Lonchura striata: one gene and its partners. The protein of the gene in region 2 interacts with the protein of the main gene of each other region in a pairwise test. Links are inferred from orthologs where the notes say so. Each region holds a gene or a part of one and is shown on either strand. Other genes may lie near its edges.

What was found.
Region 1: the proteins of EWSR1 (region 2) and ATXN3 interact in binary tests that used the Homo sapiens proteins (3 or more experiments, as listed by UniProt). The link is inferred for Lonchura striata from reciprocal best matches to the Homo sapiens genes EWSR1 and ATXN3.
Region 3: the proteins of EWSR1 (region 2) and MVK interact in a two-hybrid assay, tested with the Homo sapiens proteins (2 studies listed by BioGRID and IntAct). The two-hybrid records come from large-scale screens. The link is inferred for Lonchura striata from reciprocal best matches to the Homo sapiens genes EWSR1 and MVK.

What each region holds. Positions count from the first base shown.
Region 1 is NC_134608.1:16,337,486-16,344,545, reverse strand, and holds the start of ATXN3 (ataxin-3), read right to left. Parts: upstream 3,079-7,060; 5' UTR 3,052-3,078; coding exon 3,028-3,051; intron 1-3,027. Other genes in the region: NDUFB1 (NADH dehydrogenase [ubiquinone] 1 beta subcomplex subunit 1), read right to left, coding at 4,282-4,318, 5,447-5,586. UniProt on the Homo sapiens protein: Deubiquitinating enzyme involved in protein homeostasis maintenance, transcription, cytoskeleton regulation, myogenesis and degradation of misfolded chaperone substrates.
Region 2 is NC_134620.1:3,037,481-3,045,079, forward strand, and holds the start of EWSR1 (RNA-binding protein EWS), read right to left. Parts: upstream 3,003-7,599; 5' UTR 2,955-3,002; coding exon 2,942-2,954; intron 4-2,941; coding exon 1-3. UniProt on the Homo sapiens protein: Binds to ssRNA containing the consensus sequence 5'-AGGUAA-3'. Might normally function as a transcriptional repressor. EWS-fusion-proteins (EFPS) may play a role in the tumorigenic process.
Region 3 is NC_134620.1:11,140,456-11,148,258, forward strand, and holds the start of MVK (mevalonate kinase), read right to left. Parts: upstream 3,079-7,803; 5' UTR 3,043-3,078; coding exon 2,965-3,042; intron 2,822-2,964; coding exon 2,674-2,821; intron 1,944-2,673; coding exon 1,796-1,943; intron 830-1,795; coding exon 674-829; intron 1-673. Other genes in the region: corrinoid adenosyltransferase MMAB, read left to right, coding at 3,256-3,313, 3,386-3,490, 3,569-3,662, 3,766-3,823, 4,249-4,321, 4,863-4,960, 5,233-5,297, 5,432-5,831. UniProt on the Homo sapiens protein: Catalyzes the phosphorylation of mevalonate to mevalonate 5-phosphate, a key step in isoprenoid and cholesterol biosynthesis.

The sequences.
Region 1 (7,060 bases), on a different chromosome or scaffold from region 2:
TGGTTATTGACAATCTGCCCTCCACGTTATTGCTGAGAAAGTGATTAGGAGCTGGAAGAACAATAAAGCTCCTTTTTAACATGAAATTTACATAGAGGAAGTAGATAAAATCATGCCACTAGTTTGAAAATCCTGAAAACAATTATGGGGAAACAAGAGAAAAATATTAAATTCAGCATATTAAACAACATAAATATTTTTTTTTATTGATAGACCATTCAAATAAAAAACACTCCAGATACTTGGTTACATATGCAACACGTTACAGGTAATAGAACTATAGTGTAAGATTTTTAAAACACTGGCACAAATTTTAAAAGAGTTAACTAACAATGTCAGTCATGATTTTTTAGTACAAATTCAAAAAAATCTCTGATCTGAATGAATGCATGACAGGCTCCAACATTTTCATATATGAGATACAACACTGTCTCATTAAAAACAAACCACAATATAAACCAAGCAAAGCAGTTTCTCATGAAAAGGAACCTTTTCCTACAAATAACTGTAACTACATGTGCAAGACAAGTAACATCAGTTTTAAAATCCTGCTTTTCTCTTTTGTTTTAATCAGTCTTCATTTCATTTTTATTTACATTAAGAACTCTCCTACACATGCTCTTCATTAAAAACAAAACCCCTCAAGAAAAAATCTGACACCCCTCCCTCAAGCCAGCCCCACAGAAACTAAGAATACAAAAATATGCCTTTGAGGAATATTCTTTAAAATTCCATAAAAGCATCATACAAATCATATGTAGAACTCTCCCATGATCTCCCTTACAGTTGAAACCTCAAAAGTTCTCTTTATTCCAGAATCTTCCTATGGCTTCATCGCTCAGTTGAACAATGAGTTACTGAAGCTGCACTGGCTGTACAGCCAGGCTTGAGTGGAATCCAGAAGCCTCCTCCAGCTCATGCCCTTCCTGCAGCAAGAAACTCAAGACTAAACACAAATTTCTGTCCCTCTGGGACCACATCCCTACTGCTGGTCATATGACCAAACTGCAACAGAAGAACAGAAGAACCTGCTCAACAATCACAGGCTTCCTCACTGGAGTAACATGAAACTGATAGAAAAAGAGAGAGATACTAAAATACCACTGGAATTAGTTGTATTACATGCTTACATACTAATTTCACTAAAAGGACCTTTCTGTATTTGTACAGCATTATCTGAAAGTAATAAACCTTAATTCTCATGTGTAAAAGTCATACACATGAAGTGCCAAATGCAAAAAAGAGATCCTACAGTATTTAACTGACATGAACTTCCATTGTTTTGTGCAGAGAACACTGCTTCTTTACCATAAGCTGAAATCCTCTCATTGAAACCTCTCCTGACATAAAATGCTGCCCTGCTTTCAATGTTTTTGATCACTTTTATCTTACCAAGGAAAGGACAAACTTTGCAGATTGGGACTCCTGAAGCCCCATACTTAAATCCTACTTTCTGCAACTGCTATTTGTCTCTAAAAAGGCCACAACGCTGGTTGTTTTATTAAATTTTCTTAATAAATACCATGTCCCTCGTGTGTTTCTATCAAAACAACTGGAGTATGCAGACTCAGGAACATGCAGTGCTTCTAAATATTCTGACAGCACTTGATGGGGGAAAAAATACCCCTTAAGAAAAAGAATAATTCAGTTAGATTTTCCCTAAAATAATAACAGAATAAAAATGTTTGGCTTTCCAACTTAAAACATGTTGATGTGCAACTTTTTAACTGTGTTACTAACTTGCCAGGGAGCAGGTATGTTTCACGTGAGAGACTGTCAACTCACCCTTCCCCAGAAGGCAGAGAAAGTACAAGTTACCATCTCACCTTGTAACTCTGAATGTATTATGCTTTGTCACTTCAATTTCACAAGCTTTGCTATTAAACTAGAAAGCAATTCAGTAATAAAAAGTTAATTCATACTGTGATAGACAAGGCCACGTAAGAAGAGTGCATCTGTTAAACTGTTTTCAAAGCCAGACTGAAGGTCACTGAAGCAGAGGCCATCACAGCTGAAATCCAACACTCGCCCTCTGAACAGCAGCTACTTAACACCACAACACTCGCCAAATTTTGCAACCCAAACCTACTCAGAAAGAGCACTCCCCAGTTTTTATGGATCTCAGAACAGCAATTTTTTAAAGGACAGCACACGGCTATCTTACTTGACTTCTTAAATAAATTCGACATAACAAAACAAAGTAACAGAACTAGTATTAACACAATAAAGTTGAAGAGACATTGGCAAAGTGCAAGAAAAAATCCAATTATACTTTGAACAGCATTAAAACAGAAATAGGTCATATTTGGGAACCTGGATAAAACACAGCAGTTCACAGCAGCATTTTCCTCCAAAACAGGAAATACTGCTCGGCACACAGAAGTACATTATATGAACTGCGATTTCTCTAGCGGTTCTCCCAGTCCGTGCTCATTACACAAGCCCAGCCAAGCCAGGCTCGGTGACGAGATGGCTCTGAGCGCACAGGGACAGCCCCGCCTGCCGCTGCTTCTCCTCGTACTCATTTCTCAGCCTTGCGAGCTCTCTCTCAGGAAAGAGAAGTAGCTGCAGCCTACACTTCCCCACACCCGGGGGCTGTTTCTGCAGTCCCCAGAACACGGTTCCCGTGCCAAAGAAGACACCGAGGCTCAGCCCTGACTGTCCTTTCCCTGGAGGGCTGGAAGGGACGGCAACGTCCAGCTGGGACGGGCCACAGGCACCGTCGCGCGAGGGGCCTGGCTTTCGCCCAAGGCAGAGGGCAAGCCACTGCCGGAGGTGAGAGACGCCAGGGAAGGAGAGCGCGGCCCGGCCCGGCCCGACACAGGCCGAGCGCACCCCGGGGCTCCGGGGGCTGCCCCGCGGGGCGGGAGGCCCGGGCACCGCCCCAGCGGATCCTCAGAGAGAGCTCGCGCGCCTCCCCCGTCTCGGCGGCCCGGAAGGCCACAACCGACGGCGCTGTACCCAAGGCGGGCAGGCAGCGGGATCCGCCCGCTCCTCCCTCACTCGCTCCCTCCCTCCCTCGCTCACCCGCTCGTGGAAGATCGACTCCATGTTTACTGTGGCAGCCGCAGCCCCCGCCCCACGTGACCCGCCCGGCCAATCGCAGCGCCCATCGCCCCCCGGCCGCGCAGGGCAGGCCCCGCCGGCTGCGCCCGGCCCGCCCGCCGCTCTGGCGCCCCCTGCCGGAGAGGAGGCCGGCGGGCTAAACCGTCGCTGGCCGCGAGCGCCCCCGCGCGGCAGCAGCGCCCGCGGGGAGCGACACCCGCCGCCGGCTCGCTCCTCTGCCGGCTGGCCCCGCACCGGCCCGGGACCGCTTCTATCCGCACCGGCCCGGGACCGCTTCTATCCGCACCGGCCCGGTACCGCTTCTATCCGCACCGGCCCGGTACCGCTTCTATCCGCACCGGCCCGGGACCGCTTCTATCCGCACCGGCCCCGCGCCGCTTCTATCCGCACCGGCCCCGCGCCGCTTCTATCCGCACCGGCCCGGTACCGCTTCTATCCGCACCGGCCCGGTACCGCTTCTATCCGCACCGCCCGGTACCGCTTCTATCCGCACCGGCCGGGTACCGCTTCTATCCGCACCGGCCCGGTACCGCTTCTATCCGCACCGGCCCCGCGCCGCTTCTATCCGCACCTGCCCGGTACCGCTTCTATCCGCACCGGCCCGGTACCGCTTCTATCCGCACCGGCCCCGCGCCGCTTCTATCCGCACCGGCCCCGCGCCGCTTCCCCCGCACCGAGCGGAGCGGCGCCCGGCACCGCTCCTGCCTTGTGCTCACCAGCTGCGCACTCCTTAGACCCTCCTGGTCCGCTCACAAAGCCTCAATAACTGCTTAACCACTATTCCAAACAAGCCTACAGAGACAATCCAGAAAGCAACTTAAGCAGGTTCAGTACCTGTCAAACACATTCTGGATTTATGGAAGTATTTCTTTGAAGGCTAGTTCATGAAATAGCTATAAACACACGGATTCCACACCATACACAGCAATACCAACATAAATGATTTTTGCATAGTTTATTCTATAATTCTTCCTCTCCTTTCCAGAGTAAGGAAGAAAATTCTCTCAATGCTTGTGGACTAATGGAACTCCTGAACATATATGAGTCATGTAATTAAATCATCTTCAAAAAGTAACACCAGATATTAAACTAGCACTGATGAACTGCAGATGTCCTTTACTGTAGTATCCTCTCAGGGTAAAAATCATATTCCTGTTCTTTCAATATGTAAGACGATGAATCAAACAAAAATGTCTTCCTTTTCATCATCAGCTTTTATTTCCAAGTTACTTCTTCACCAGGCTTCAATTCCCTGTGTAGAAAAAAACCCAAAAAACAAGAGGGAAGAGACTAAAATTAGTATCATTATTTTTAGAATAATTATTAATATTTGTGTTAGTTTACATTCAACCATACCTTCAATTTGAGATTTATGTAAAAATTTAATTTTCCTTGCAATTGCTGTCAGTTAAAAATCTTTCCATACTGATAAACTTCCTCCTTTCTTTCAAAAGCTTCAATGGATTGAGTCCTCTGAATTTCCATTCATTTAAATGGAAGCACAGAACAGCTGACTTCTAAGTAGTTAACAGACTTTTAACTGGATCCAAAATGAAAAATTCTACTTTTTTAAAATGTAACAATTCATTACTTTAGTGGAAAGAGAAATGTGAAAGAAGAAGGGATTTTTACAAGACACCGACATAGCAGCCCAACTTCACTAACAAATACATTAAGAAAAGTGCTAATGTATCAGGGGAGTGGATTATGTCAAAAGCTTTCTTTCTTATTCAAAATGAATTTAGGTGAGGCCAGAGGAGGAAAGACAAATCCACTAGAAAACTGATAGCTACTATCAGTTTCTGCAACATGACTTTTTTCTCTCCTCTTTTGTTAACCTCAAGACCTAATACAGAATTAGAACTGACACAGGTGAGTCAATGCCTGAAGTTCTCTGATGTAAATACTCCCTGAGGAACCAGAGCCAGAAAACCCAAACTCATCAGTGTATATAATCACATAATTCAGTGAAGACATAGCAGGTTGTATGTTAATTTTCAAGGACTTGGTAATTACTTTTAAGTAACACACATTTATAAAAAGAATTTTGTCAAAAAGCACTGTGATAATTTTAAATTTAAGAAAGAAAATAAAAACTCAAGCACTGTGTTTTCTGCTGAAGTTACAGAGAGTTAAAATAATGGTTTCCATATTTCATGACCACGAACTTGACAGCAGTTAATGATTCTTTCTTTCATGAAGATGATAGCTTCTAAAGATTCCGTTTTCAGAGGGTATTACTGACCTAAAACACTTCATGAATGCTTGATATTTTTAGGCCTTTCTTCCCTTTTTTTGGTTACAATCATGACTAAAAAAGAACTGAGAAGCACTTTGAATAATAACTATATACGTATACAAGAGGCATCATAAAGCAGACCTTTTATATAATAAGCTCTTGTTTCTGAAGGCAGACAATCTTTCATCATTCCATCTGTCCAAATAGCATCCAATCACAAATCCTAAGGGAACAAGGATGTGAACCCAGTGTTCACGCACAGCTTGGGCGAAATTCACCATGACTGCTAGAAAGAAAAGTGTAGGAGGTAAGAGGTACTAATACTTGTGCACTTGGAAACTGGTGCATGCTTGGCACCTTTACTCTCACTTATTAGGATTCCACAATTACATAATATACATGAAGGCTATCAAACACTTCCTGGGAGAAACATGCTGCTCTCAAACCCATACCCGGCCTTCTTAGAAATAATCCTAAATGTTAACCCTGGGAAAAAGGATTTCATCCTAAAACAGGAGAGAAATAAAACATCTCTTTAATTTACTCTTTAAAGCAATTCTATAGAAGTTTGCTACTCTGTAAAGCATTAGAAACACTTTCATAACCTAAACTTCTGTAGAAGGAGACTTCATTATCTGCGTCAAGTCTCAGAGACTGACAGATAAGAAAGGACTTTTCTAAAATCACAGAATGACAGAATCATTACAGTTGGAATGGACCTTTGGAGATCATCCAGTCCAACCTCTCTGTCAACACATCCTGGTGGTTTCTCAATGTCTCCAGATAGGGAGACTTCACGGCCTCTCTGGAAAGCTGTTCCAGTGCTCTGTAACCCTCAAATTGAAGAAGTTCTTCCTCGTCTTGAGGCAGAACTTCTTGTGTTTTAGCAATGGCTATTGCTCCTTGTCCCATTGCTGGGCACCAACGAAAAGAGTTTGGCACCCGTCTTTGAGATATTTACACCCATTAGTGAGATCCCCTCGCAGACCTCTCCAAACTATAGGGGCCCAGCAAACCTTCCCAACCCAACCAAAGCCTTCCAGATTAGGGAATTACACGGGATGGCAGTGAGGTCTGTCACACAGCCGCGGGCTCGGACCCCGGCCGGCTCCCGGGGGCGAACTCCGCCGCCGTTCGCGCCGCGGCCGCTGTGGGGCGGCCAGGCAGGCGGACAGGCAGGCGGACAGGCGGGCACCCCTGCGGAACCCCCGCCCCGGGCCCGGCCGCTGACTCGCGGCACGGCCCCACCACCTCCCGGCTCAGCCGCCTCCGGCCTGCCCGGGACCCGACCGCCGTAAAGCCCCACGGCTGAGGGGCGCTCGCTCCCGCCCGCCCGCCGCCGCCGTGTCCCGGCCGAGGCGCTCCCGGCAGGCCCGACAGCGGTCCCGCCCCGCGCCACCCCGCCATTACCGCCGCTCGCGCCGCAGCGGGACCGCAGCGGCCGCGCCAAGGGCACCGGGAACGGGCGGGCCGGGCCAGACCACGCGCTGCGCGGGGCCGGGGGAGGAGCGCGCTCCCCCCGGCAGGCTCGCGGTGGTGCCGCCCGCTACCCTTCCGCCCGCTGCCCCGCCTCCCCGCCCCCGCAAGATGGCGGCGAGCGCGGCGCGGGCTGGGGGTGGTTGAGGGCGGCAGGTACCGGCTTCTTCGCATCATCATCCTCCTCTTCCCCTTGTTCTCCTCGTCTCGGACTGGAGTGCGCGCACCGCTCGCCCCCGTGTCCCCGTCCCCGCCCGGCGAGAGGCCAGGCCCGGGCGC
Region 2 (7,599 bases):
AATCTAAAAGAAAAGGAGAAGAATAAAAACATTGATAAAGGCTTAATAAAATTAAAGAGACCAAGAGCACAGCAGCTGGAATTTCCTCCTGCAGCTCGCTATAAACCACTGGAATTCCAGTTTCCCAAGGGTGGAAGGTAAATGCACATTTTCAGTCCTCCTTTTGGAGGGGAACAAAACCTCCCTTCCCCTCATTGTTCCTGCTGCTCGCAGCAGCCACTTTGATCTCAAATGACCCCGGTTCAATTTAACTGCCACCTTGGATGGATCCCAGGGGGCTGGCAGGGGGGGATTTGGGTTGGAACAAAGGAAAAACAGGGATCTGAGCCTTCCAAACCCACCACCCTGCTCTGAAAGGGCTGGGCTGGAAGGTTTCACCACCTTCACTCCTTCCCTTTCAAGGACACAAATGGATGGCTGGAAAGCCACTTGTCCCCCTGGAAGGGCTGGAGCTGGGAAGATGGGAGTGATTCCCTCCACAGATCCTCAATCCAAGTCAGCAACTGACTGGGAGGAGAACCAAAATCCTGAAAACCCCAGCAGCAAAGCCTGTGCTGAAGTGATTTGCTGGCAGGGATGGAAAATGAATCCACATGGCAATTAGGAGGCTAAATTTGAAAGGACTGCAGCTCCCAGTTCCCTCAGAGGCAGCAACAGCTCCAGCTCCCAACCCAAGGTCCGGAGCACGGATGAATTCATCATTCCCAGCAGACCTGGCCAGAGACCCCAGCTCTGCCAGGAGCACAGAAGGTGCTCAGGAGATCAGGAATGAGCCCAGAACCTCCTGGTGGAGGCCACAGCCAGAAGCTGCATCAGTGGAGCTGCTCCCAACCATCCCTGTGCGGGAAGAGTTTCCACTGCTCCCATCACCATCACACCTTGGCCAGAAATCCAAGTTTCTCCCAAGAATCATGGAATATCCCCAAGTGGGAGAGACCCACACGGATCATGCTCAACTCCTGCACTGGAGAACTTGAGGAAGCAAATTTTGCCTGGCTTTAATGCCATTATCCCACAATTCCCAAGGCATGGAGCCCCAGGAATCACTTGGAAAACACAGCTTCCATCCAGCACAACCTCCTGTTCCCCAGCCTGTGCATCCATCCCTACTAAACCCTTCCTGCCCAGCCTCCAGGGGTGCTCCCAGCTTCTCCTCCTGCTCCCTGGGCAGGAGCAGAGCCCCTGGATCCCTGCTGGAGGCAGGAACAGGGATCCCAGCAGGAATCCTTGGCAGTTGTCCATTCCTTTGACCTTGCCCAGAACACCTCACACGGGGAAAGAAGACACTTGGAGTTCTCCAAAGCTTTCCCTGCTCCCAGGACACAAGGCACAAGTTGTTAAACTCCCCTGGCAGCATTCCCACTTCCCTCTCAGGTTGGCAAGTGGGATACTGGAACATTTTCCTTGTTCAGTTCAGGGTTCTGGGTTTGTTTGTTTTTTTTTTTCATTCACTTTACATGTGGTTCTGCTAAATCCTGAGTGTTAATTAATGCCTGGTCCCCCTCATCCAGCTTCCCTTTCCCTACCACTCCACTTTTTTCCCTGCTCACCCTCCAGCCACCAAAACCTCATTTAATTTGTTTTTAGCCCATTTTGGCCTCGAGCTCCACGCAGGGGTATCAATTAACCCCTCTCCTCACAGCCCTCCCCCAGTCCCACCTAAACCCAACATTTTCCCCTCTGCAGGATTTAATTCCAGGTGTGGAATTTGCAGTTTGCCTGTGGTGATGCCTCTCTTTTAATTTGCTGGGATTTAGAGGAACATGGAACATTAATAAAAAATAATATTATGGTTCATTTAGTTAAACCCATCTCCTGGCTTTTATTTCCAGGGGGAAATTAATCTTCTTCCTTTTATTTCACAAGGCTCAGAAGCACACCAGAGGCTGAAAATAGCAGCTCCCAGGAGGAACAATTCCATGAATTAAGGGAAAACACAGCTGTGGTTTTAACCCCCATCCTGACAATTCCACTGGCAGATGTTCCTTTACTGACTTTTCTTTTTCAAGCTCCCCAAGGTGCTGTTGGTGATATTCCCTCACACTCCATGGCCTGGGAGATTTTCCTTGCTGGAAAAAAGGAAAATCCTCATTTCTTTTAAAGGGAGTCAAATCCTGCTGGGATTTAAAGTACTTTAAGGTGTACTGAGCTGGAGAGTCTCAGTCTCCAACTATTTGTATCCAGCTGGAGCCCTCGTGGAAAAACGTTTCATTCAGAAAAATGTGGAGCCATGGAGATGGTGGAACATCTTATCTCCCTGTGGGGAAAAGTTGGCAGAGGAGAAGGCTCCAGGGAGAGCTCAAAGCCCCTTCCAGGGCATAAAGGAGCTCCAGGAGAGCTGGAGAGGGGCTGGGGACAAGGGATGGAGGGACAGGACACAGGGAATGGCTCCCACTGCCAGAGGGGAGAGCTGGATGGGACTTTGGGCAGGAATTCCTGGCTGGGAGGTGCTGGAGCGGAGATCCCAGAGGATGCTCCGTGCCCGGCGGTGCCGCGGGCCGGGCTGGGAGCCCGCAGGGGCAGCGGGAGGTGTCGCTGCCCCCGGGATGGCTCCGGCTCCCTTCCCACCCGCGGCGCTCCGCCGTCCCGCATCGCAGCCAGAGCCGCCCGGCAGGGCCGGAGCGAGCCCCGCTCGGCCTCGGCTGCTGCGAGCGCGGGGCCCCGGCGATCCGGCGGCACCGAGCGGCCGCAAGAGCCGCAGCGGACACTGAGGGGAAACACCCGCGGCCCCGGCGCGGCCCGGGCGGGCGGACCGCTGGGACACGGGCGGGACGGGCCCTGCACGGCCCGACCCCAGCGGCCCCCCGGGCGCGGCGCCGCGGGCCGGCGGCGCCGTCCCAGCGCCCCTCCGGCCGCTCCGCGGCGGGGGCGGCGGCGCTGCCGGGGGTCCCGTCCCGCCCCGCCGCCCGCCCCGGGCCCGGCCCGCCCCGGCCCCGCTCACCCGTCGACGCCATTTTCTCGCCTTCCTCCTCCGCGCTGCCCGCCCGGCCCCGCCCCGCGCCGCGCATGCGCCGCCCGGCCCCGCCGCGCGCACCACCCCGCGCCCGGGGGGCGCCGCCGGCAGATCGCGCCCCGGGGGCTCGGCCCGCCCCGCTCCGCCGCCCGCCCGCCGCTGCTGCCGTCCGCGGGGAACCGGGACGGCCCCGCCGGCAGCGGCCGCCGCTCCGGTTTGCGGCTCCGCCGCCTCGCTGCGCGCTTCCCCCCCCCGCCGGGCGGAGGGATGGTACGGCCCGCGGCCGTTAGGGACCGTCGCGCAAGAGGCGCTCGGGCCGCGAGGCGGAGCGGGGAGCGCGGCGGGGGCGTGACGTCACGGCCGGCGTAGTGATGTCATTGCGGCGTGGCGGGGCTGCCGTGACGTCACGCGCCGTGCCGCGGGGGGGGCCTGGCGGCGCCTCCTGGCCGTGAGGTCGGTCACTCGGTGTCACCGGCCGGCGGCTGGCGCCACGGGCTGTGTGCGACCTCGCCAGGTGCCGAGAAGTGGCAGGGCGGGTGCTCGTTGGGGTGCCCGTGCTGTGGTTGGCATTGCACGCTGCCCACGTGGCGAGCGTGGCAGAGTGACGTCACCGCGTGTCATCGCTGCATGACGTCATCATGTCCCATGAGGACATGAGGGGGTACCGCGTGTCCTGCGTGTACTGGGGGTGACCCGGGCTGTGGTGGCACAGCTGGGTGTCCCATGGGTGGTGGGATGCGGGTGGGTGTCCCGGGGCTGATGTTGCATGGATTGGTGTCACATCGCGGGTGGGTGTCCCATGGCACAGCCATGTGTCCCCTGGGTGTCCCTGAACTCCATTCCATCCCATGGATCCCATCCCATCCCATCCAATCCCATCCCATCCCATCCAATCCCATCCCAAGGATCCCATCCCGTCCCATCTCATGGATCCCATCCCACCCCATGGATCCCATGGATCCCATCCCCTAGATCCTATCCCATCCCATTCCATCCCATCCCAATCCATCCCATCCCATAGGTCTCACCCCATGGATCTCATAGATCATATCCCATCCCATCCCATTCCATCCCATTGATCCCATCCCATAGATCCTATCCCATCCCATGGATCCCATCCCATGGATCCCATCCCATCCCATCCCATCCCATTCCATCCCATGGGTCACATCTTATCCCAGGAATCCCATCCCATCCCATAGATCCCATCCCACAGATCCCATCCCATGGATCCCATCCCATCCCATCCCAAGGATCCCATCCCGTCCCATCCCATGGATCCCATCCCACCCCATGGATCCCATGGATCCCATCCCATAGATCCTATCCCATCCCATCCCATCCCATCCCATCCCATCCCATCCCATCCCATCCCATCCCATCCCATCCCATCCCATCCCATCCCATCCCATCCCATCCCATAGGTCCCACCTCATGGGTCCCATAGATCCTATCCCATAGATGCTATCCCATGGATCCCATCCCATAGATCCCATCCCATCCCACCCCACAGGTGCCCGGGTCACCCCGGCGCACCAAGCGACCCCACAGGACAGGGATTTGGGGACATTTAATGACCTGGCGGGTCCCCAAGCAGCGAAGCGCGCAGCACGGCGGGCTCCCCGCCCGGGGGGTGCCCACCGCCAGCCCCCCAATCCCCTCCCCTGGGCTGGGGTGCCCGGGGAGGTGGGATGAGACAGAGCCCACCCCCCCGGAGCTGCGCCTTGCCCGGGGGACAGAAATGGCCTTGGGGACAGCCCTGGCCCTCCCGGGGACTCAAGCAGCGGCGATGGGGGCGAAGCGTGGTGGGGGGACGGTGCCGTGCCACCAGTAGCACCAAGAGGGGGGACGGGGCTGAGCCCGTCCTGCTCCCCAGGGTGGCACGGCGGGGGTGGCCCGGGTGACGCCCCTGTCACGGCTCCGGGGGGGCGCGGCGGGCGGCGGTGACGATGCGGTAGGGGGGGTGGCCGCTGCCACGCTTGCCGTGGGGCACCCCGGGGGTGGCTGTGCTGGGGACACCGCTGCCCGAGCCGGGCTCTGGCTCTGTGGGAGGAGAGGAAAAAAGGGGTGTCAGGGGTGGGGTGTCACCCCCCCAGCTCTGTAATCCCCCAAATCGGCGCCGGGGGCTGTGCTGTGGGTGTTGTGCCCCGCAGAAATGGGGGTCACTGCCCCACTGTGGCTCTGAGTGTCCCCAAGCCCTGGGGACACCCACCCGAGGACCCCCCAGCTGGCACCCCTGCCTGGCACCCCCGGTTGGAGCCCTGGGAAAGCACAGCTGGAATGGGGAGGGGGCGGGGGGGTGAGGGTGGGGGGCACCCTGGCACGGGGGGGTTGGCACTGGGGGATCCCTTGGGACAACGGGAGCGCTGGGAGCTGCTTCGGTCCGAGGGGTCCCCGTGGGCTCCGGTGAGCCTGGGGGGTCCGTGTGCCTCCCTTAGCTTGAGGGGGTCTCCAGGGTCTCCCTTCTCCCAGGATTTCCTGGAGCCCTGGGGAGCTCCAGGGTTCCTCTTGGCTCAAGAGAGGCTCTGTGGTCTCCCATGGTTCCAGAGGGGCTCTGGAGCTTCCCTTGGCCTTGAGGGACCTCCATGGGTCCCCTTGATCCAAGAGGGGTCTCCATGGTCTCCTTTGGAGTGAGAGTCTCTCCATGGGCTTCTTGGAACCCTAAAGAACTCCAGGGTTCCTCTTGGTCCAAGAGGAGTCTCCATGGTCTCCTTTGGAGTGAGAGTCTCTCCATGGGCTCCTGGAACCCTAAAGAGCTCCAGGGTTCCTAGTAGTACAAGGGTCTCCATGGGCTCCCTTGGGGTAAGAGAGTCTCTCCATGGGCTCCCTGGAACTCTAAAGAGCTCCAGGGTTCCTCTTGGTCCAAGAGGGGTCTCCATGAGCTCCCTTGGGGTGAGAGGGTCTCTCCATGGTCTCCCTTAAACCGTGGCAGGCTCCAGTTTCCTTTGGCCCACAAGGATCTCCATGGTCACCTCTCAATCCAAGAGATCTTCATGGTCACCTCTCAATCCAAGAGTATTTCCATGTTTGCCTCTCTCAATCCAAGAGGATCTCCATGGCTGCCCTTCTCAATCCAGGAGGATCTCCATGGTCACCTCTCAATCCAACAGATCTCCATGGTCACCTCTCAATCCAAACAGATCTCCAAGGTTGCATGGCTAAATCCAAGAGGTCTCCATGGTTGCCTCACTCAAGCCAAGAGGATCTCCGTGGTCACCTCTCAATCCAAGAGGATGTCCATGGTCACCTCTCAGTCCAGGAGGATCTCCATGATTGCATAGCTAAATCCAAGAGATCTCCATGGTCACCTCTCAATCCAAGAGGATCTCCATGATCACCTCTCAATCCAAGAGGATCTCCATGGTTGCATGGCTAAATCCAAGTGATCTCCATGGTTGCCTCTCTCAATCCAAGAGATTTCCATGGTTGCCCTTCTCAATCCTGGAGAATCTCCATGGTTGCCCTTCTCAATCCAAGAGATCTCCATAGTCACCTCTTAATCCAAACAGATCTCCATGTTCACCTCTCAGTCCAAGAGGATCTCCATTGTTGCCTCTCTCAATCCAAGAGCTCTCCATGGTCACCTCTCAATCCAAGAGATCTCCATGGCTGCATGGCTAAATCCAAGAGATCTCCATGGTTGCATGGCTAAATCCAAGAGATCTCCATGGTTGCCCTTCTCAATCCATGAGATCTCCATGGTTGCCCTTCTCAATCCTGGAGGATCTCCATGGTTGCCCCTCTCAATCCTGGAGGATCTCCATGGTTTCATGGCTAAATCCAAGAGATCTCCATGGCTGCCCCTCTCAGTCCAAGCAGGTCTCCGAGCTCTCCCGTGGCCCCGGAGCTCTCGGTGCCCCGTTGTGGTGGCTCCAGCCCCCCGTGCTCCATGCCCGCTCCCGGGGTGCCGCGGCGCTCCGGGCTGATGCGGGGCGGGGCGGGGGTGGTTACCTGGCCAGATGATGGCTTCCAGCAAGGTGACCCTTCTAGCCAGGACCTCCAGCCGGGCCTGCTGCTGCAGGAGGGTTTGGAAGCTACTGGCCTGGGGGAGAGGGAGAGAGCAGAGCAGAGCAGAGCGCGTTGGCCCCGCGGCGGGCTGGGGACACGGGCTGGGGACACGGCACGGCAGGGGTGGCACAGCATGGCGGGGGGGCACGGCAGGGGTGCAGCCCCAGCGGGATGGGGGTGCTGGGGCACGAGGAGGGGGTGCCAGGTCTCCTAGGAGGGTCTTCCCACTCTCAGAAGGGTGCTGGGGGCTCCCCCATCCCCGCGGATCCATGGCGACAAGGGGGGGGGCCCTTGTGCTGGCTTGATGTCCCTGGCAGTGCCCTGATGGGGACACTGATGTCCCTGACTTGGGGGTGCTCCCTCTGCCATCCCCCGGCACGCTGAGCCCCCCGACATTTGGGGGGACACATTCACAACCTGTCCAGGGGGACACTGATGTCCCCAGCTGGGGGTGCTCCCTCTGCCACCCCCAGCACACTGAGCTCTCCAAAACGTGGGGGGACATGTCCCCAACCTTCTCAGAGGGCCACCCACTTGTCCCCAACACTGAGACTGTCACAGGTGTCCTGCCCGAGGGGGACAGTGCCTGGGGGGGCTCTGGGGTGCCCAGCTGGGGGTGAGGGTGACCCTGGTGGCCC
Region 3 (7,803 bases), about 8.1 Mb from region 2:
CCCAACAAGAACCTGTTTCTGGGTCAGACTGCAAATTCTGGTTCAGAAGCAGAACACAGAACCACCCCCCTTGATGTCTTGCTCTCAGCCCCACAAAAAATCCCACACAATAGAGGGTCTGCCCCTCCAGCTTTGATTTTTAACAGCTTCAAACAGAGCTCCCTCTCACAGGGGCACAGCACTCCAGGCTTCCAAAGGGGAGCTCCAAGGGCAGAAGGAAAGAAACTCTCTTTCATCAGGTACTGATAAAAGGGAAAGACAGGCAGGAGATCAGGAGGAAATGTAGCACATGCAGAAAAGAATTCATGGGAAATGCAAAAAGAAATCCCAGAAAGGATCCTCGAGGACTCAAAACAAAACCTGGAAGATGCTCAGAGCCAGAGGAGACCGAGTTTGAAAAATTTCAGTGTGTTTTATTTGACTGGAAAAAATAAAGCCTTTCCCCCCCTTTTCAGGTATGTTTATCTGACCCTAAACAAGGGAAACGGGGAGTTTTACAAAGTCTGGGAGAGGGCTGGGAACTCTGGGCATGGACAGGAGATGGGCTCTCGGTGTCAGTTGTGGTGACAGCCAAGAGAAACCAGCAGAGGTGGCAGTGCCAGAATTCCTGCAGGTAAAAGGAAAGGTGGGGCACAGGGAGCAGAGCTGTGCATCCCAGGCTGGAATTCCTTACCTGGCTGTGGATTCTCCCTCCTGCAGTGGGCAGGAGATGGCTCCACACACCATGAGCAGGGCTGCAGCCAGGCACACAGCATAGGCAGCACTGGATCCCAGCCCTGCTCCCGTGGGCAGCTCCGACCACACCACGATCTCCACGCTGGGAACATCCCTGGTAAAACAGACAGGGACTGACACAAGCACCCTGAATTCCATCTCCAGCCAACGTTTAAAATGCAAAGGAGGCCAGTTAGGACTGATCAAAGGGAAAGCTGATTGAGAACTTGCAACATCAGCACATGCATCTGACACTCTGGGGCTTCAGGAGGGCTCATTCCTGAATGGAGCAGCCTTGGCCAAGCCATTGTGCTGGAATAAAGCCCTCCTGAGTGGATCCATGATTGGCACAGCTTGTCAGGCTGCTAGCAGGGGCAGTTTGTAACCAAATACCTGAGCAGCACCATAAAGAGCCCCTTCAGAGGTTGCTGTAAACAGGATTGCAAACACATTTCTGAATAAAGTGTAAACATCCCAAATGTGTATTTGCACAGCCACATCCCACTGGAGCAAGAGGCTGGTGGGGAAGATGGAACATGGACATATCCATGTCCCTTTGCTCCACTGAACACACCTGGGTTGTGTTACAGACCCCAGAATCAAACCCAGGAGGTTTTCAGGGTTGTTGAGTGACAGCCCCAGTGCCACCCTAAGAGTGCAAGGAAACCACAACCCAGTTCTTTATCCTTGGATTTCCTGGATGAGAATAGGGAAGTTGGGCTCTGCTGTGGTTTCTGACACTGCCCTGAGCACCCATCCAGTCACACCAAGATCATTGACAGTGCTGGGGCAAGGCTGAGAACTGGAATAGCCCCAAGTTCCCAGAGTTTTTTTAGGCAGATTCAGCCCATAAAGAGATCAGACTCAGTTCAGACAATAAATTCACAGTTTATTTCTGTTTTTCCAGCCTAAGCCAGGATGACAGGAGCTGCCTGCTGGAGGGAGGGGTGTGTGTGTTGCGACTGTGGCATGAACTGCTCTGGTTTCAGCCCTCAAAACTAAGTGAGAGCAGAGACTCCCAGCTCACCTGCCTGAAGCAGCCACCCACCACCAAAATTTTGGGGCAGGAGTGGAGCCTTACCCATACTTAGCAGAAATAGCCAGGCACATATACAGGAAGGCAAGAGTAGCAAGACTTTCTGGAGCTGAAGCCCCAGCAGCAATTCCAGCAAACTCCCTCAGTGCATCCAGCTGTTCTACACTGGGGGACTTGGACTCATCTTCATCAGCTATGGAAGCAAGCAGGGGAGAGTTTAAACACTTAAAAACCAGGGAATTGTTACACTGAGAGCAGTATTTGCAACAAAACCTTCTGTTACAGCAGGCAGAAACAGCTGGGGCCAATTTCAGGTTCTACCTGAGGATCTGTGATAAAATAAAAGCAAAATCTCCACCAGGCACTCTGAAATCCCAGGGTTTCCACACTCCACATTTCCTGCCTACACCTCCCAGTGCATCCATCCATACTCACTATGGAAAACACAGCAAGTCACAAACTCTTCATTAAAGAATGGGGATTTTGGAACTGGGATATCCTGGGGCTCCAGCCAGTACAAGGTGCTGCAGAAATTCCCATGAGGGCTGGTGTGGGACAGACAGGCAGGAAAACAGGCTCAGGCTGACTCCTGCCTGTGTCACAACATTGCCTGAGCCACAACAGCACCAGAACAAGTCCCTGGAACCCAAACCAGGAGGGGACAGGGCCACCTGAGCATCAGCAGGGTCACAAGGGGAATGTAAGTAACTGAGAGGAGCAGGGACAGGTCAGTGAGTGGGGTCAGAGACAGGGGGGACAAATAACCCCACGGGGGTCCCTGCAGAGTCACCCCACGGGGGTTCTGCGAGGTCACCTCATGGCGGGAGTCCCAGCACGGTCACCGGGGTGCAGCGGGCACCGAACGGTCCCGAGAGCCCCTCAGTGCCCCGGGGCAGCGCCTCCTTCCTCTCCCCGGGCCTTGCCTGCGATCCGCCCGCGCAGGGCCCGCAGCCCGGGGCTGTCCCAGCTCCTCCGGACGCCGACGCCGGGCAGGGAGACGCTGAGCCGGCCCTCAGCGCCGGGCCGCAGGCAGAGAAACGTCCGCAGGTCCAGCGCCACGGCCAGGGCCACCTGCGGGCGGAGAACGGGGCTCAGCGAGGCCGCACCGAGCTGGGCGGCCCTCACGGTGCCCGCCGTGCCCTCACCGAGCTGGGCAGCCCTCGCCGTGCCCTCACCGATCTGGGCAGCCCTCACGGTGCCCGCCGTGCCCTCACCTTGCCCAGCACCACCGCGTGCTCCCCGTGCAGGATCACTTTGCCCGGCGCCGACACCGCCAGCTCCCGCCGCCACATCGCCGCCGCCGCCTCACGGCCCACGCCGACTGACAGCCCCACCCACCAATCGCAGCCGCGCCCTTGTCCCGCCTCCCTGCGCTCAGCCAATAGCAGGGCGCGCTGAGAGGGCGGGACTTGCGGGCGGCCAATGGGAAGGGGGCGTGGCGGGGTGGTGCGGCGCTGGGGTGACGGCGTGGGCTGAGGGCGGGACGGTGACGGCGGCCGGGAGGGATGTGGCGGCGGGCGGCGGCGGCGGGACGGGGACTGCGGGGCATGGCGGGGCGGGCAGGTGAGCGTGGGAGGGCCGGGACTGCCTCTCGGTGTCGTTCCGTCCCTCACGGTGTGCTTCTTCCCCTCACAGCGCCCCCCGCCCCCACGGTGTCCCCTCACGGTTTGTGCCTCCACAGCCCCGAGCGCGCCGCTGCCGAGCGGGCCCCGAGGATCTACACGAGGACGGGAGACTCAGGTAGAGCCCGGGGGGCACCGGGGAGCCGCGGGCAGAGCTGCCCAGCCCAGCCCTGAGCGCCTCTCCCCTTTCCCAAAGGATTCTCCAGCACCTTCACCGGGGAGCGGCGGCCCAAGGGCGACCGCATCTTCGAGGCCCTGGGAGCCACGGACGAGCTGAGCTCGGCCATCGGGTAAGGACCGGCTGGGAGAATCCAAACCACATGGAAAAGCGTGGTTGTTGTGATTTCTTCATTCCCAGCTAACTCTTGTTTTGTTTTTTTCACTCTAACCAAGGCTGGCTGGTGAGTTTAGCAGTGAAAAGGGCCACACGTTTGTTGATCAACTTCATAAAGTGAGTATTAAGGATAATCTTCATCCAGTGCTATAAAAACATGCACTCCTTAATTTTAACCACAGTGCTCCCACTGACACACAGGAATTGAATACATTTAGGATTTCAATATATAAATCTTTAAGACTCCCTTGATTGCTCTCTAAGAGGCAAATTTATTTAACCAAGAAGGAAGCTGATAGATCAAATTATTAGTTATGGGCAGACAGATTAATCTCTAGATTTATCCCAAGTGAGGTCCACATTGTGAACATGAGTTTTGTCGTAACAGAACTCCATGTTTGAAACTGGGACACAAACCAAGCATAAGGGCAGAGCAGTGACACAGGTCCTGCCTGGGCAGCCTGTGAGTTTGCCAGGCAAACTGAGCACAGGAATGCAAAAAGCCACGGCTGAGAGTGACAGCAGCTGTGATTTTTGTCCAGGTGCAGTGCATGCTGCAGGATGTGGGCTCCAACCTCGCCACGCCGCTCTCCTCGGCCAGGGAGGCTCACCGGAGTAAGTCCTGCCTTTCCTGGAGTGGCAGGGCTTGGGCACAGCCTGGCGTGGGTGGTTGGGATGCTGAGGGATGGATTTGGTTTCTTAGGACTTGCTGATCCAAGAAAGCAAAATCAGAGTATGTGACATTCACATTCTCTGGACAGAGAGACATAATTCTGTCTCTCAGGGGTAGCGCTGAGAGAAGAAAATCTTTATCTCTGCTCCTTTGTTTTCCCTATGTGGGATGTGGTGTGGAGATTGTTTACCTGCAGTGATTGCTGGGTTGGGTTCTGGTGAAGGTTGTTTGGGGTCAGTGACCAGTGGATCCAGCTGTGGCTTGGGTTCTCAGCACAGAGTCACAAGTTTGCAGTTAGTTAGATAGGTAAATAAGTATGTAGAATACTATAATTTTAATAAAGCTGTCCTTCAGCCTTCTGATCTGAAGCCAGACATCATAATTTTCTTCCCTGAGTCGGGGATCACCACATTTTTCACTATACTAGTTCAGTTTTTTGTCTGAATCACTTTTTTTCAGCTGTTTCTTCTTTTCCCTCTGTAGAACGAACGTCGTTCAGTGAGAAGCCCGTCCTGGAGCTGGAGCAGTGGATTGACAGTTACTCAGAGCAGCTCCCTCCCCTCAGAGCCTTCATCCTGCCCGTAGGTGCTGCCTGTGCCCCTCACTTCCTTGGGGTAGCCCTGCTCCACTGCTCACCATGGGAAAACAGCCTGGAAGGCTGCTATTTCCATAGGCAAGCACTGAGAAAAAAGCAGAGACGAGGAGCTGGGAGTTACTTCTGCCCACCCTGCTGCACTGGGATGTCCCTCCCTTGCCTGGCCATGGCACAGGGATCAGCTCCATGTGTGTGGGAGGGGAGGGGGAGCTGTCCCTGCTGGTGCAGACACTGAGTGGTGTTCCCTTGCTGTTCCAGTCTGGAGGCAGGAGCAGTGCTGCTCTCCACTTTTCCCGAGCCGTGTGCCGCAGGGCTGAGAGGTGGTGAGTGCTGGGATCACCCTGAGGAAAGGGGATGGGGACACCCCAGTGATACAAACCAGGGCTGGGCTGGGGGCTCAAGCCAAGCTTTTGTGTGTTTAGTCCAATTCCAGCCAGGCTCTCTTCCTTCCCCTTAGCTGGGTCATCCAACCTAAACCTTTTGGGATTCTGCAGCCCCATCCAAACTGGCCTTGGAGACTTCCAGGGATGAGATATCCACAGCTTCTCTGGGCAGCCTTGCCAGGGCCCCACCACCCTCACAGGGAAGAATTTCTTCCCGATATCCCATTTAACCCTGCCCTCTGGCAGTGGGAATCCATTCCCTCTGTCCTGTCACTCCAGGCCCTTGTAAATAAAAGAGTCTCTCTCTGTTCAGTGATTTCCCAGACACAAACATTTCTGGCATCATTTACCCTGCCCAGATCCCTCTGGGAAGCAAAAGTCCTTCATTTCTGCAGGAGTCAAACTGGGGACCCCAGGAGAGGTTTGGGGTGGGAGGAGGCTCCAGCCTTTGTGCACTCAGAGCTGGAAAATTAAACACCAGCATTTCCCTTTGCTTTTCCAGTGTGGTCCCTTTAGTCCAAGCAGGGGAAGCAGATCCAAACGTGGCCAAGTATTTAAACAGGTAAAAAAATAAAACCCCAACCTGTTGCCCTGTCCTACTGAAGCATTCCCTTAGTCCTGGGAATGGAACTGGGGGGTTTTGCTTCTCAACAAGCTTCTCTTCTGGATAAGATCCCTGGTTTTCCTGCTTTTCCCTTGCTTTCCAGGCTCAGTGATTATCTCTTTGTCCTGGCACGTTATGCTGCAATGAAGGAAGGGAAGGAAGAGAAAATCTACATAAAACCTGAGCCCTAGCTGGAGCTGGAATGTCTTTTCCTTTATTATGGAAAACTAAATCCAGTTGACTGCTTTTGTCAATCAAGGAAGGGAGAGAGAGCAAGCCTGGAGTGGAAATGGGAGCTGCCAAGGATTTCCATGTGACATAACCAGGAACTTGTTGATAAATCCTGAGAAGAACAGAATCACAGAATATCCTGAGTTGGAAGGGACTCAGACACATCTGTCCTATCCCTGGGCCTGGCCCACACATCCCATTTGAGGATGGCTCTGGAGTCACTGCTTCTCCCAGGTGGGAGTGAGGCAGGAGAATTCCTTAACATTTTGGAGATGCCTTCATTTCCCTGGGCAGCAGCAGGTGCTGTGGGAAGGCTCTGACAGGACTCTGAGGGATGATGAAGGGAAAACAATCAGCTCCTCCTTTGAAGGCACAGCGCTCGTGTAGAGCAGCAGCTGGAGGCCTTTGGGAATTGTGTCCACAGCTCTGGAATAATAAATGTGAATTTCCTTGTACCAAAGGGCCACAAACTGTCACGTTTTAACACCGAGCCCTGTGTGCTTTGCTGCTCCAAGTCCCTTCCAATCCATCAGCTCTGGCTGGAGCTGAGCTGTACAGATTTACAGGAATGCACCAAGAATTCCTTGGCTCTGGCTGCCTCTTGTTGTGCATGTGAGGAATGTCTCTGTGCTGACAATCCTGTGCATCCTCTGCCAGGAACGAGGCTCACAGAATGGAGGGGGTGAAGCAGGAAAGGCCAAATCCCAGGGTCTGCGTGCTGGGGTTGTCTACACATGGAGCTGTCCCTTGGAATGGTGGGACCAGCTGCAGGAACAGCTGGAGGAGCAGAGCCCAGGGTTTGGGAGCACCCAGGGCACTGAGGCTGCAGGAAAAGGGATTGGGGTGAGGAGCTGGGTGAGAGGGGCAGCACCCCGAGGGTTCCTCCCAGGGTGTCTGTGCTGACCCTGGAACATTGCTGGAGGGAGCTCACACCCACATCACACACACAGTTCCAGCTTTGCACTCATGTCCAAACTGCTTCCAGCTTGGAAATACTACTGGGAAGAGCCCATGGGAAGCCTGCTGGTGTAATTTTTCCCCCTGGGAATGGTGTGGGCTGCAAGGTGGTGATGCAGCTTTTAAATCCATCCTGCCCCTTCTCCCGTTCAATTATTTGAGTAGAACCAACCTTAAACTTGTTCTCCAAAGAATCTCTGGCTCTGTGTCCCTTTTTTGGCCAGTAAAAAATGCCCAGGAATGAGTGAGGAGTGCCCAGCACTAACAGATCTCCTGGCTCATCACTCACCTGGGTTTGAGGCAGATATTTCATGCCTCTTGTTAATGCACATTTTTCATGGAGTAATTTTCCAAGCCTCAGCCTGGAACACATCCTGGTGACAAATGCTCTGGATTTGGATGGTCCCGTCAGCTGCAGTGTCACCTCAGCCATTCCCTCTGCCTGCTCCTTCCAGTTTTACGAGAGCTCTGGCTCTGAGACTGAATCTCAGGAATCAAGAGGCTTTTCAAGTTTAATTTAATAAAATCCTTTGCAATATAAATTCTTCATGAATGCTCCATAAATCAGCTTGGGGAGGGATTTATAGTATTTCCCTTTTTTTTTTTCCAGCTGGGGGGAAGAAATCTCACGACTGTTTGGGGACCTAAGCTGGC